Macaca mulatta: one gene and its partner. The protein of the gene in region 2 purifies or fractionates together with the protein of the main gene of each other region. This does not show direct contact. Links are inferred from orthologs where the notes say so. Each region holds a gene or a part of one and is shown on either strand. Other genes may lie near its edges. The genes, in order: OCLN and TJP1.

Region 1 (7,645 bases), on a different chromosome or scaffold from region 2:
GTGCTTTGAGAGGCCAAGGCATGGGTATCACCTGAGGTCAGGAGTTCGAGACCAGCCTGACCAACAAGGTGAAACCCCCGTCTCTACTAAAAATACAAAAATTAGCCAGTCGTGGTGGCAGGTGCCTGTAGTCGCAGCTATTCGGGAGGCCGAGGTAGGAGAATCATTTGAGCCTGGGAGGCGGAGGTTACAGTGAGCCGATCACACCACTGCACTCCAGCCTGGGCTACAGATGAGACTCCGTTTCAAAACAAACAAACAGAAAACCAAAAAAACACTTAGCATAGTACTTATAACATGTTTTTCCCTGAGTAAATGGTGCTATTGTTATTCTTCCACCTGTTGCAGTTCCTGCTCAGGTGCTGAGTCTCTTTGTTTAAATGTGGATTCCTCCCAGGAGGATCTTGCTTAACACATAGGAATTGAGGAGATAAAGGTTTACTCATCTAGTGTAATCATCCTTTTAGAAATTGTCTTCCTAGTGGCTGCCCCATAAATTCTTCCATACACCTGTCCAAGGAAACTCTCCTGTGTGGACCAGGAGCCTCCCTCTTCATAATTGGGCAGAGATACCAGAGGCCTTTCAGGCCAGGCCCTCAGCAACTCCAAACTGAGTTGCCTTGGACACATACCAGTGCTTGAATTCATTTACTAAGTAGGCAAGGCAGAGTGGAAACCGTGGAACTATTTTAATCTCCCGTCTTTTCCCCTCTAAACCCTAGTACTAGAATGTAAGCCTTGAAATGCTACTAAGGAATGTGCAGGTTTCACAATGGCAGGAGGCCATCTGAGAGGAGGACAAGATTCCACAGGTACGTTGGATTTGGGAAACAGGGCTATAGTCATTCATTCATTCATCCAACACAAAGTTATAGAATTCCTATTTCAGGCAGATAGGATACAGCAATGGCTTGTTAAATTTATTGAGACTTGTTTCATGGCTCAGCATATAGACTGTCTTGGTGAATGTTCCACATTCCCACCAACAGACTTATAAAGATAGTATTGTTTATTATCATCTCAAATTTACGGTGGAAAAAAATGAGGCTTATGTAGTTTAATTTCCTTTAGTCCTACCCAGCTACCAGGTAGCAACACTGGAATTTCAAATGAAATTTCTGACACCATAATCTGAGCTCTTAAGTTTCTCTTTTACACATAAAAAAGGAGAAAAAAAATTGTTTTTTCATCTTATCATCCATTTGACTGCAGGTAAAGTCAACAAGCTTCTAATCATGGGGTTCTTCTGAGAATAATATTTACATTGCTCTGAGTCATGGGGATTTTCATTAAGTAATATCCAATAGTGGATACTACTCAATACTAATGTGAGTTGCCAAGAAGGAATATTTGGTAACAATATAGTAGTTAAATTTTGCTATAATTTATGATTATGTAAATTTTAGATTAAATTGAGCATGGCATCATTTAACATCCAACAAATTTTGTTTTGGTATTGAAGAATGATGTGTTTAAGTTTTAAGGCTGGATTTTTCTTTCTAGACACTTTCAACTACCAAATATATACAATATTGGGCAATAGTTAACTGTTCTTTTGATGCTGTGTTGTTTAGAAAATTAATCTCAAGCGAATAAAATAGAATTCATATATTTCAACTTAATGAATCCTATTATTCCATATGGATGAACTCAGAACTAACTAGAAAGTAAGTTTCACAGAGATTTTTGAGTTTTGTTCACTCATGTGTACAGAGCACTCAGAAAATAGTTGAAGGAATGAATTGGGAAAGCAAATAAAATATGAAAGCTAACCTTCTACCCAACACAACATGTCTTTGAGTTTAGGTTTAGGGTGGGAATAAGCAAAATAACATGATATGCATAAATTATTATCTTAAAATGATAAAAAGTTTAATTTAAAAACCTAATTTACCAAGAGAACTGAAAACATACATCCACAAAAAAACTTGTACACAAATATTCATAGTAACATTATTCATAGCATCCCCAAAGGAAAAACAACCCAAATGTTCATCAACAGATGAATGATTAAACAAAATGTGATACATCGATACAACGGAATATTATTCAGTTATAAAAAGGAACAAAGTACTGATACACACTACAACATGGATGAACCTTTAAAACATTATGCTAAGTGAAAGAAGACAGACACAAAGGGCACATATTGTATTATCCATTCATATAAAATGTCCAGAACAGGCAAATTAATAGAGACAGAAAGTACATTAGTGGTTGCCGAGGGATGAGGGGAGAGGGGAAATGGAGAGTGACTATTAATGGGCATGGGGTTTCTTTTGGGGGTGATTAAAATGGAATTAGATGGTGGTGATGGTTGTACAATCTGGTGAGTATACTAAAACCCACTGAATTGTACGTGCCCTTTAAAAGGGTGAATTTTATGGTATGTGAACTCTTTTATAAAGTGGAAAAAAACTCCTAAGATCTCCTCTTCAGAACATATCAAAATACATTATAAAATAATGGACATGTGTTTACAAATCTGAGAGTATTAGGAAATGTTCCCTTGTTTAATTATAAACCAAGTGGAATGTTTGGAGATTTCAGTAATCTGACAGGGAACATTAAGAGGATTAACCTGACTTCCCCAGTGTTAACAATACCAATTTAAACTGCATCATTCAAAAACTACATAGTCATATTAAAGCATTTGTGGCAATGACTTCCACGAAAAAAATACCAATTAAATTAATTACTCATTAAAGCTGTCATCATCTGAAATACCTCATATTTACATGGTGCTTTTACTTCCTTAAGTATGAATTGTGCCTTAAGATCTAATGTATGGGAGAGTCACATCTCCAACCATTTAATTAAAGGTAGAGAAGTGGGTGGGATTGGATAGAAATTTATTAGCAATGCTGACATTCCAGATTGGAACGCAAAGACAAGCAGGATTTAAGAAACCTAACAGTTCGCTTTCAATGCAGGTAGTTAAATGCCAAGAACTATAATTACCTCATCCTGGAGTACAATTTAAAAATATGTTCAAAAACAACAAACATACATAAAAACATACACAGTGTTAAGTGCAGACTATGAAATTTCCTTTGGAACCATAATCCAGATCAAGAAATAGAATACAGCACCCAGGACTAAGGTGCTTTTTCGTTTTCTTAAAAAAATAAACAAATAAACCAGGTTTATTTTGCTTTTTAAGTAGGGTTCTTAAAGCACTACAGGTTGGTAAACAAAGTATAAGGTGCTTTTTCTTAGGCCAAAGAGCCATAATAGTTTAAATCTCCCCGTCCCCAAGAGCGGACCAGTTACATTTCGGAACGGGTGGGCAGGGGAGGACCCTGAGGTGGTGATGTGTAAACTGTGTATTATGCACTTTAGCTTGCTGGACGGCAACTAACAGCTACAGTAGTTCACCCTCATTTTATCCCCACTAAGTAATTGTCTTATTTCTGAATCTAGAGATTCAGAAATAGCGCCAATATTTACACACGAGTTTTGAAATTTTCCCAGGAGTCTTTCGTGGGAGCAACACATCTAGATGCCTTTTTCCAGCAACAGTTCAATCAAATTTTGGAAGCAGAAAAGTGTCCCGAGAGGACGTGCCTTTCCTATCAAAGTGCTTAGTGCCTAGACCCTTTCCGGAGGAAACAGTCCCCTCCGGACCTCGTTCGACGTCTCTCCGTCAGACACCCAAGGTTCCATGTGAAGCAGGCGGAGCACCAAACGCACCCCTAGGTGGTCCAGGACCCCCATGCGTGCTGCCCCCTGGGAGCCCGCGCTGCTCCTCTGCGCTCCGCCCCTCCGGCCGGAACATCGCGCGGTTCCTTTAACAGCGCGCTGGCAGGGTGTGGGAAGCAGGGCTGCGTCCTCCCGCCCCCTCCCATCCGAGTTTCAGGTGAATGGGTCACCGAGGGAGGAGGCCAACACACCACACCTACACTCCCGCGCCCACCTCTCCCTCCCTGCTTCCTCCGGCGGAGGCGGCAAGAACCGAGAGCTAGGGTCAGAGCGCCGAGAAGCCCGTCCGGGACGCAGCAGGTGGGTCTCTCGGGGCTGGCCCGCAGGCTTCCCGCACCCCCCTACACGTTGGTGCGCATGCCCGGGGGCAGGGCCGGTTGTAGGGAGAAGGGGGAGGAGGGGAAAGAGAGAGAGGAGGGGGAGGAGACGTCCCCAGCCCAGTCCCTGGCTGCGCGCTGGCGGTCGGCGCGGCGTCAGGTGCGCCCGCCAGGTGAGCGCCCTCACTGGCTCGGTTGGTCCCCGGAGGGTCGGGCCCAGGTGCGGCCAGTGGGTGAGTGTTGGGCGTGGCGTCAGGGGCGCACTGGAGCCCCCAGGGTCCCCGTGGGGGGACCGCGGCGCCTCTGTTAGGGGAGGTGCGGGGGGGAGGACGCTCCGCGCTGGTTTCGGTGGCAGTTTCGTCCCCGGGCTGGGACTCGTGGGAACCGGAGAGGCGCGGGTCTGCGGAGAGAGCAGCACCGGCCAACTTGGGAGGCTGCCTCCCCGGGCAAGGGGCGGCTTGGAGCCGCCGATCAAGCTTTATTCCGCGGAGACGCTTAAAGCTAGCAGTGCCTCAGCGGCGCGGGCAACTTTTCACTTTTATGAGGCAGGACATTCCTGAACAGCGACGATCCTGCATCAGCTCTGGGGCTGCAGTTTTGGGGGGCGGCCCTCATGGAGAGGGGTCCTGCGCCCAGCTCGTTGGGGGTCCTAAGCTTGAGGCTGCAGCGAGAGACTGCTTGCTGGTCCGAGCCGCTTAGATCCCGGGGGGAATTTCATCCCTTCGGCTCCCACCCCACCCCACTCCTTTGGGTATCCCGGGGAGACGGGGGCTGGATTCAGTCTGTGAAATATTCCGGGAGTCACGGTGTGGGCCACACTGGCTACCTCGAATCCACTTGTTGGGAGTTGTGTGAACCCGCGCCGATTTAAGCTGGGGTTCACGGAGTTAATTTCGAGGGAAGCTGCTCACGCTTGGGATTCTCACCCGTGACCAAAAGGGCTGCCGCCAGGGGGGCGGAACTGCCTCCGGGCGGTGCCTGCCCAGCGAACGCAGGCGCGCGCTGCCCGGGAGCGCCTCGGGGCGCACGGACGCCGGGATCCGCGCCCAGCCGGGCCACGGAGTTTGGGGACCTCCGGGACTGGGCCGGCCATCGCGCCAGCCATGTTGCCTGCGTGGAAGGAAGCTTGCGGGGAGCGGGGGTCAAGGGCCAAGATGGCCTCTGCGCCTAGGGGTTGGGAGCTGCGCCGAGGTCTTCGTGCTCCTCGGGAAGCCACCGGGCCCGAGGGGAAAACCGCGGCATCCTCAGGCCGGACCCGGGGCTCGCGGGCTACACTGCCCGCTTGGGGAATTATCCCGGGCGAGGAGGCGGCAGCTTTCTAGGCCAGTTAGTGTGTGGCCCTTAGGCAACAGGTGTATTATTGGAATACCTGGAAAAGAGAAACGCTTCCCATGAAGGCACTTATGGTGATTTAGAAAACTAGGCATTCCCAAGTGTAACAATAATTCTTTTGCACTGTACGTATGAGTCTTTCTTTTGTTTTTATTATTATTATTATTTGCTTTTTTGAGACGGAGTCCGACTGTGTCTCCCAGGCTGGAGTGCAGTGGCGTGATCTGGGCTCACTGCAACCTCTGCCTCCCGGGTTCAAGTGATTCTCCTGCTCAGCCTCCCGAGTAGCTGGGATTGCAGGCACCCACTAGTATGCACGGCTAATTTTTGTATTTTTAGTAGAGACGGAGTTTTGCCATGTTGGTCAGGCTGATCTCGAACTGCTGACCTCAGGTGATCCACCCGCCTCGGCCTCCCAAAGTGCTGGGATTACAGGCAGGAGCCACCACGCCCAGCCTTTATGAATATTTTCTTAGTGGTGCTTTTTGAGTGTGTGGGGGCGGCACAGATATTTCCTCAAACAAAGCAACCCTTTTTTTTTTTTTTTTTTTTTTTTTTGTCGTTTTGCAATTTATTTAGTTATTAGGGGCCTCCTTTGTTAGGTGATGGAGCGGAGGATAGGGAGGTCGTTAAGACATGATTCTCCACCTTTTGGCAGCTTCCAGGCCATTTCGGGAAATAATGGGCAGTGTCTCCTGCACGTGAGGCACTGTGCTAAAAGCATTCTGTATTTTCTCATTTAATTATCCCAACAACTCTAAAAGGCAGACCTTAGTAGAACTCCGTTTTAAAAGCGGGCATATGCTGTGGGGGAAACGTGTTGCATGGGCTTGCCTGCAAACTGCTTCAGCTAATCTGGGAAGGAATATCAGAAGCAGCGGTCCTTGATATTCCAGAACCAGATTTGGGGGATTTTTCTGGACCTTTGTACCATTGACTAGTACCTGTAGCCTGATACAAGATTTCCCGCATTTTGCTTGATGTCATGGTAAAATTCTTTTTTCTTCTAAAGGTAATGTTGGAATTACTGCCTTTCCAAAATAATAGATTACTTTTAACCACATAAATGATCTGATGTAATATCTTTCACCTTCCCAGGAACGTCCCAGAAGGAAGTTTTCTTCAGTTGCATTTTAAGGCTTATTTGATTGGAATATCAGTGGATCTTTTTCATCAAATTACTATTTATAGAAATAAGAGAGTAAACAGACCATGTAGATTTCTGTTAGGCTTTTCGTTTTAACCCCTAGGCTTGCCGCTGTTCCGTAACCCAGTGATTCCAGTCTTGGCTGTAGTATGAATCACCTAGGGATCTTGTTAAAACACAGATTCTGATTGGGAGGTCAGGAGTGGGACCTGGGATTCTGCCTTTCTAACAGGCTCACAGGTGATTCTCAGACTGTTCTGTCCTCTTTTTCTCCCTTTCTCTTAGACTCTACTCAATTACATTTGACACACTGAAGTTGGAAATAAAGGAAAAAAAAATGCGTTTATTGGGTGTTGATTGGGTGTTGTGTGAAGAACTTCAAGGCATTCACTGCTGGATTGAAATCCCAACTCTAATAATTGACTTGGTTTTATTAATTGAGTACTCATTGACAATCACTTTGTGCCAGGGCTAGTTTCAGGGACCAGGGATATAAATGGTGGTCAAAATAGACATTCGATGCCTGGGATGCAGGCATTCCAGATGGGGTGGAGATAATACCTAAAATAATTTTAGGTATGAGGGCAGAGGAGAGTTTGCTCTGAAAAAACAAGTTTTGTGTGATGGAGTGAGGGACTGGGAGGGCATCTCCCAGAAGGTGGCATCTGAGCTGAGATGTGAACAGCAGGTGTCTGCTGTGTAAAAGATCTGGGCTTTTTAGACAGGAAATTGTAAGATCAATGTCCTTTTTGGATTGACACCATTATTGTAAACAGCAATTCTCAAAATATGTGGTGTGTTAAAAAATCACTTGGAAGGTTTATTAAAAATACAATTTCTGACACAGTCTATTACAAAATCTGCCTAACTTCAAATTTTTAGACAATTTAATGATGTGCCTATAATCTAAATCATTTAATATAAGGCACAACTTAAACTTTTTAAAGACAAATTGACAGTTACTGCATGTGCCCTAAAAGGAACAGACTTCTCTTAAATATGTTTATTTTTCACTTATTGAGAGTTTTCTTTAAAGAATAATTTGAGGGCAAAGCATTTTCAGTCTATTTTTTTCTACTATATATATATATATATATATATATATATATATTTTTTTTTTTTTTTTTTAAAAGATGGAGACGGAGTC
Region 2 (6,893 bases):
TCATTTTTCCAGAAAATGCGGTACTTGTAAATATGAGGAAATATGTATTTACAAGTAATTTTTTTCTTTGGTAACATTAAAATATGCTCTTGCTATGATCTTTATACCACAAACTTTTATTTCATACTGTACCAAACTAAAACTAAATAATGCTCGTCTGATTTATCAAAGATTTGGAAGCAGGACTTTAAATCAGGTTCGCTTAAAGTGATCTACACCTAAAATAAAATTCTGATTGTTAACTGACTTAAGTCACTCAAGGAAGTGAGAAATGTGAAAATGCAATGGAAGCTTTGAAATTATGATCTTAGGAGCAAAAAGTTGTTTACAAATAGTGTATAAAAGAAGCAATTTAGAGTATTACACTGAAAAACCATGGCCAAGTATGATCACAATGGAAGATTCTTTTAAATTTCTCTGGTATACATACTTTGTAGATTAAGAAATTAAACAGGCCAGGTGCAGGGGCTCACGCCTGTAATCCCAGCACGCTGGGAGGCCGAGGCGGGTGGATCACTTGAAGTCAGGATTTCGAACCAGCCTGGCCAACATGGTGAAACCCCATCTCTACTAAAAATACAAAAATTAGCCGGGCGTGGTGGCGCACTCCTGTAATTGCAGCTACTCGGGAGGCTGAGGCAGGAGAATCGCTTGAACCTGGGAGGCAGAGCTTGCAGTGAGCCGAGATCGTGCCACTGCACTCCAGCCTGGGCGACAGAGGAAGACTCCGTCTCAAACAAAACAAAACAAAACAAACAAAAAAGAAACGAAACAACAGTAACCAAAAATATAAATAGTTATAGAAAGGAATGAACTAATTTTAATAAGATAAAAATGCCTGTTTGTGCAGGACAATAACAATTCTCCCACTGCATCCTGAAAAATTGGACAGAATCAATCATTTTGAATACCAAGAAATACTCAATTATTTGGCCAAATTATTAAATTTTTTTTTTTTTTTTTTTTTTGAGACAGAGTCTCGCTCTGTTGGCCGGGCTGGAGTGCAGTGGCATGATCTCGGCTCACTGCAACCTCCGCCTCCCTGGCTCAGGCAATTCTCTTGCCTCAGCCTCCTGAGTAGCTGGGACTACAGGCATGTGCCAACACATCTAATTTTTGTATTTTTAGTATAGATGGGGTTTCACCATGTTGGCCAGGCTGGTCTCGAACTCCTGACCTTAGGTGATCCACCCGCCTTGGCCTCCCAAAGTGCTGGGACTACAGGCGTGAGCCACCACGCCTGGCCCAAATGATCAATTTTTAAAAGGAAGCAACTCTTCTATCTTTCCATGGAATTTATTTACAATATATGCACCATAAATAAATGTGGAAATACCGGTGATGCCTACAAGGCCACAGGAACAGAGGGAGAGATTTGCTAACACACAGCATGGGTAGCATCACCAGCCCAGGTATTAATCAACGACAGTCCCCAAAGCCCCAAAGGACAGAGTGAAGACAGCATACCCGACGAGGAGTCGGATGATTTTAGAGCAAAAGACCAACCGTCAGGAGTCATGGACGCACAGTGTGGTAAGCGCAGCTCCACAGGCTTCAGGAACTTGAGGCCATGGGGACCACACATCACCAAGGGACTCAGCAGTGTTTCACCTGGAGTTGGAAAAGGGGATAGGCAGAGAGGTTGGATGTGGTCTTTCTTCTAGACCCCCAGTTTTCCTCACCCTGCTTCTAATTATATGCTTGAAAGCCTAATGCAGTTAGTTCTCTACAATCGCACTGACCACAAAAAAAATGTAACAGCAGACACATATGGAATTTTAAATTTCCCAGTAGCCACGTTAGAAAGTAAAAAGAAACAGGTGATAACAAATAGTATAGTATTATAACTCAATATAACCAAAACACTGTTATTTCAACATGTAACCAATATATGGTATCTTTGGAACTTGATGTTTATTTCACATTTCCAGCATCTTTCAATCCAAAATTGTCACACTTCAAGTGCGAGGTAGCCACGTGCAGGTAGTGGCTACTGCATTCAATCATATGGGTCTATAGTATAAAACATATTCAAATGTACTTGTTACAAATGTGACATATTTTCCATTTTTAAAATTTGCTCCATAGATGCTTAAAGGATTCATGCAGGGCCAACACAGTCAGTCCTACTGGTTTTTAAAACAGGATATCCCCAAAATCAGAGTACAGAATCAGATATCAGTATTCTGGCAAAACGTAAGAAAGTGTTAACTGATTTAGGAAAGTAAAAGCACTGCTAAAAGATGCTAAATCACGACACAGTTCGTTACAATATCCTGATAGATCCAGGAGGATTATGAAAATAACAGTTTCCTTAAGAAGCTCAGAAACATACTGTCGTCTCCTCTGAGACTCCGTGCACTCTGCCGAGCATGTACTAGTGCTGGGTTCTGGGGTGATGGTAAGACAGTACCTGTCAAGACGTTTAGGTTCTCCAATCAGGTGAAGACACAGCAAAGCCTTTCTGAGTGGGTGTTACCTAACCCATCTCCAGAGACCCAAAGGCTGACGGACTCAAAGACAAACTTGGTCAGGTCAGCCCAGGCTGCTCAGCAGGCACAAGTGAGAGACACCCCGTGGCCTGTCCTATGCCATCATTTTTTTACTTCATACCAAAAGTAAAAGCAGGCGGTGTGGCCACCACAGCCTTGCCTCAGGCCACCTCCTGCCTGCTTGCAACACCATCCCCAGGGCACCCCTCGCTACAGCACTCATCTGAAAGGACCTCCCTGATGAAAGGAACATGCTATTATTAGTGGCCCAGGGTGGAGGCAGAGAGAGGTGCTGCATTACCCCCTTAGCCAAGCACTATAAGCTTTGAAGTGCACACAGGGCAACTCTTAAGTTATCAAAACTAAGGAGAAAAATAAACACATTTACCTTTCTCTTTATCTAAAGGTGGGAGGATGCTGTTGTCTCGGCAGACCTTGAAATAGATTTCCTGCTCAACTCCTTCGGGAATGGCTCCTTGAGGGATAATTATACTGACTCCAGTTTCTATGGAACTCAGCACGCCACCATTGCTGTTAAATATGCCTCGCGCTGTGGCCACCACAGTATGACCATCTTCATCTTCATCCTCTTCCACAGCTGAAGGACTGAAAGTTCAGAAATGGCTAGTGAGTGAATTCCTAATAGTACACAGGTGCTTTGCTTTTACTACTACTGTATTACGTGCTTTCATTTTACTTTTGTTTCTCCATATAATCAAGAAGTTACTTTAACAAGGTAAGTTTCTGGCAACAGATTTTACTGACAGGGTTATCTCAGAGAGTATTATTATCATTATTACTATTCTGAGACAGAGTCTCACTCTGCTGCCCAGGCTGGAGTGCAGTGGCACGATCTTGGCTCACTGCAACCTCTGCCTCCCAGGTTCAAATGATTTTTCTGCCTCAGCCTCCCGAGTAGCTGGGGCTACAGGCATGTGCCACCACGCCTGGCTAATTTTTGTATTTTTAGTAGAGATGGGGTTTCACCATATTGGCCGGGCTGGTCTCAAACTCCTAATCTCATCATGATCCACCTGCCTCAGCCTCCCAAAGTGCTGGGATTAGAGGCATGAGCCACCGTGCCCGGCTGTTCTTCCATTCTTAGTGACACAAAACAATGGTGCATCTCACAGCTGACAGCATCTCAGACTTGATAACATCTCCCTAGGATTTTAAGTACACATGAATATGGTCCTGCCTCAGCATCCCTGAGGACCAAGTGCCCACCCTGCTGCAGAAGGCAAGGCTTCCAAGGTTCCATGAGCTGAAGACCCTTGTATGGGCACATCCCAAACATCCACAAAAAGAGAGACAGTAGATTAACTTAGTAATCACAGAACACCAAAGGCAAAGGGGATGTGGTATCAATGACGGCTTCAAAAATAGAGGCTATCAAGACTTCCTGAAGGACAGTTTTGAGCCAGGGCTTAAAGGTGAGCAGAAAGACCAACAAAACAGAATCACATGAAGGTAGCTGCAGCTTCACTCCAGCATGACCGGAGTGCCAGGGACGACATCCTACGGCACAATATCAAGGGAGCAGAGTGCAGCCTGAGCTGCATAGCAGGGGTCAACTGTGTCTGTCCCTGACCACCGGTGGATGTGCAGAGCTAGGAAGGCAGTGACCGCCATAACCATCCTTGCTCTCGGAAAGCAGCCTCAGGTGGCCATCCTGACCTTTGGTTCTCCCTGCCTATAACTGCTTCTGCTTTACGGTGGTATGAAAATGGAACTGGCTGTAGGAGGGTGAGATGAGCTAATGTGTGGCCAGAATCCATCCGGGCAATCGCCACGGAATGAAAGACAGGAAAGAGGAGCTGCAGGGAGGCTCCAGGAGGGCTTGCTCTGTCTCATTTGCTCAGCCATCTTACTAACTGCTGCTCTTTAAACAGTCAGGGCTATTCTATTTTTCTTCTTAGCATCATTGTGGAACAAATAATGAAAGAGGAACATAGATATTTAACGTTTTTAGATGTCCTCCACATGCCCCTTAACAGCAGGTCAGGAGAATACAAGAGGCCATGGCTGGTTAAGAGTATGGGTTCTCGGCTGGGTGCAGTGGCTCACACCTGTAATCCCAGCACTTTGGGAGGCTCACTTGAGCCTGGGAGTTCAAGACCAGCCTGGGCAGCATGACAAAACCCCGCCTCTACTAAAAATACAAAAACTAGCAGGGCATAGTGGTGCATACCTGTAGTCCCAGCTACTTGGAAGGCTGAGGCACGAGAATTGCTAGAACCTGGGAGGCGGAGGTTGCAGGTTGCAGAGAGTTGAGATCACGCCACTCCTGCCTGAGTGACAGAGCGAGACTCTGTCTTGATTAAAAAAAAAAAAAAAAGAGGCCAGGTGTGGTGGCTCACATCTGTAATCCTAACACTTTCGGAGGACGAGGTGGGTGGATCAGTTGAGGTCAGGAGTTCAAAACCAGCCTGACCAACATGGTGAAACCCTCTCTCTACTAAAAATACAAAAAATTTAGCTGGGCGTGGTGGTGCACGCCTGTAGTTCCAGCTACTCAGGAGGTTGAGGCAGGAGAATCGCCTGAACCCAGGAGGTGGAGGTTGCAGTGAACCAAGATCGCACCACTGCACTCCAGCCTGGGCGACAGAGGGAGACTCTGTCTTTTTTAAAAAAAAAAAAAAAAAAAAAAAAGCATGGGCTCAGAGGTTGGATGACCAGCAGCTAAATCGAGGCTCACCTCACTCGAGCTGTGTGACCCTGGGCAATCTGCTTACTGTCACTCAACCTCAGTTTTAGTAAAACAGGGATGATGACAATACCTACCAACCATACATGACTGTTAGCTTTATTATTTTACCAACATCTTGTAACTCCTGGAGGACCTTCTATGTAACAGCATTCATTGCAACAACACTCTTCAGTTTAAAGGTTGAGTTAAAAAGATCACTTCAAAGTCCCAAGTCAAATAAACTACAACAAACTCACATGAGAAAAATCACAGGGGCAATGCTTTGAGCAAAGGCAAAAGTCTTACCTCACAGGAATAGCTTTAGGCACTGTGCTGATATTATTTATTTGATATTTAGGCTTCTCTGCATGGATAGAGAAAGTTTCAACTCCACTGTCAAACTCAGAAGGCTGTGCCAAACTGTGCGATTTCACAAGAGTTTTTGGAGAAGTGGGAGTTTTTGACAAGTCAGGTTTATGTGCAGTTTCACTTGGCAGAAGATTGTGATTGAATTTAGGACTTTCAAACTTGCGTTCAAACGGTCGGGCAGAACTTGTATATGGTTTTGGTGTGAATCGATTGTATGCTGGAGTGACCGTTTTCTGAGTCTGTTCAGTTCCATTAACTGGGGCTTTATCTGGAAAACTTTTCTGGGGATAGAAAGCTGGCTGAGCAGCATCTTCTCGGTTTGGTGGTCTGAAAGTTGCTGGCTTATTCTGAGACGGAGGTGGGTCTGGTTTGGACACTAAGGAATTCTGAAAATCCAATGACACTGAATTACCTGAAAAACAAACATAAGCATTTAAAAACCTTTCTGAAAAAAGGTGTAACAGCCCTCTCCCAGCTCAACTTGTCCTGGTGCTGGAGTCGAGGCCCAAGTGTGAGTCGCACAGCCAGAGGCTGACTCCTGAGCCCCGGAGGCTAGGTGTGGTGCTGAGGGATGAGGGCAGCACTGACAGGCGGTACCATGGGTAGACCCTGCTGCCCTGGAGTCAGGGTCCAGCTGCTAAGATTCCTGGCCTCCAAAGACTGGCACTAGTCTTTGTGAAAACCAGAATGTCCAATAACCATATAATAAGGACATTCACTATTAATTAGAAAAATGTAAAACAAAACCAACCAAAAGCATTAAATACTATTTCACACACACTAGAATGGAAAAACTGAAAAGTTTGATAATGCCAAATGTTGGTTAAGAAGTGGAACCACAGGATTTTTTATGTGCCGGCAGAGGCAGTGTAATATAGTACCAACTGAACTCTGTGAAATAATTAAAGACACTACAAGACAAGAGAACTACTAATCCAAATTCCTCATGAACATGGCAATATAATTTACCACAGTATGAGAAGAAAAATCATATGGTCATCTTAATACATGCAGGAAAAACATCTGACCAACTGCTTGCAGCAAACTCTGAATATGGGGAACATCTTAAACACGACAAAGGACATCGACGAAAATCCCACCGCTAACATTCTAAGGGTAAAACATGAAGTCCTTCCTCCTTAAGATCAGGAACTAGCAAAAGAGGTCCAATTTCACCACTTATGTTTCAGAGTTCATTGGAGGTCCTGGCCAGTGCAATCAGCAAGAAAAGAAAGAAGGCCAGGTGCGGTGGCTCACGCCTGTAATCCCAGCACCTGAGAGGCCGAGGTGGGCAGATCACCTGAGGTCAGGAGTTTGCGAACAGCCTGGCCAACATGATGAAA

Evidence for each region.
Region 1: the proteins of TJP1 (region 2) and OCLN purify together in Homo sapiens (affinity purification with western blotting; 4 studies listed by BioGRID and IntAct, with this or other methods). This does not show direct contact. The link is inferred for Macaca mulatta from reciprocal best matches to the Homo sapiens genes TJP1 and OCLN.

The regions. Positions count from the first base shown.
Region 1 is NC_133411.1:77,572,103-77,579,747, forward strand, and holds the start of OCLN (occludin), read left to right. Parts: upstream 1-3,776; 5' UTR 3,777-4,002; intron 4,003-4,141; exon of another isoform or gene 4,142-4,252; intron 4,253-7,645. UniProt on the Homo sapiens protein: May play a role in the formation and regulation of the tight junction (TJ) paracellular permeability barrier.
Region 2 is NC_133412.1:8,709,203-8,716,095, reverse strand, and holds part of TJP1 (tight junction protein 1), read right to left. Parts: intron 5,963-6,893; coding exon 5,488-5,962; intron 3,099-5,487; coding exon 2,881-3,098; intron 1,612-2,880; coding exon 1,468-1,611; intron 1-1,467. UniProt on the Homo sapiens protein: TJP1, TJP2, and TJP3 are closely related scaffolding proteins that link tight junction (TJ) transmembrane proteins such as claudins, junctional adhesion molecules, and occludin to the actin cytoskeleton.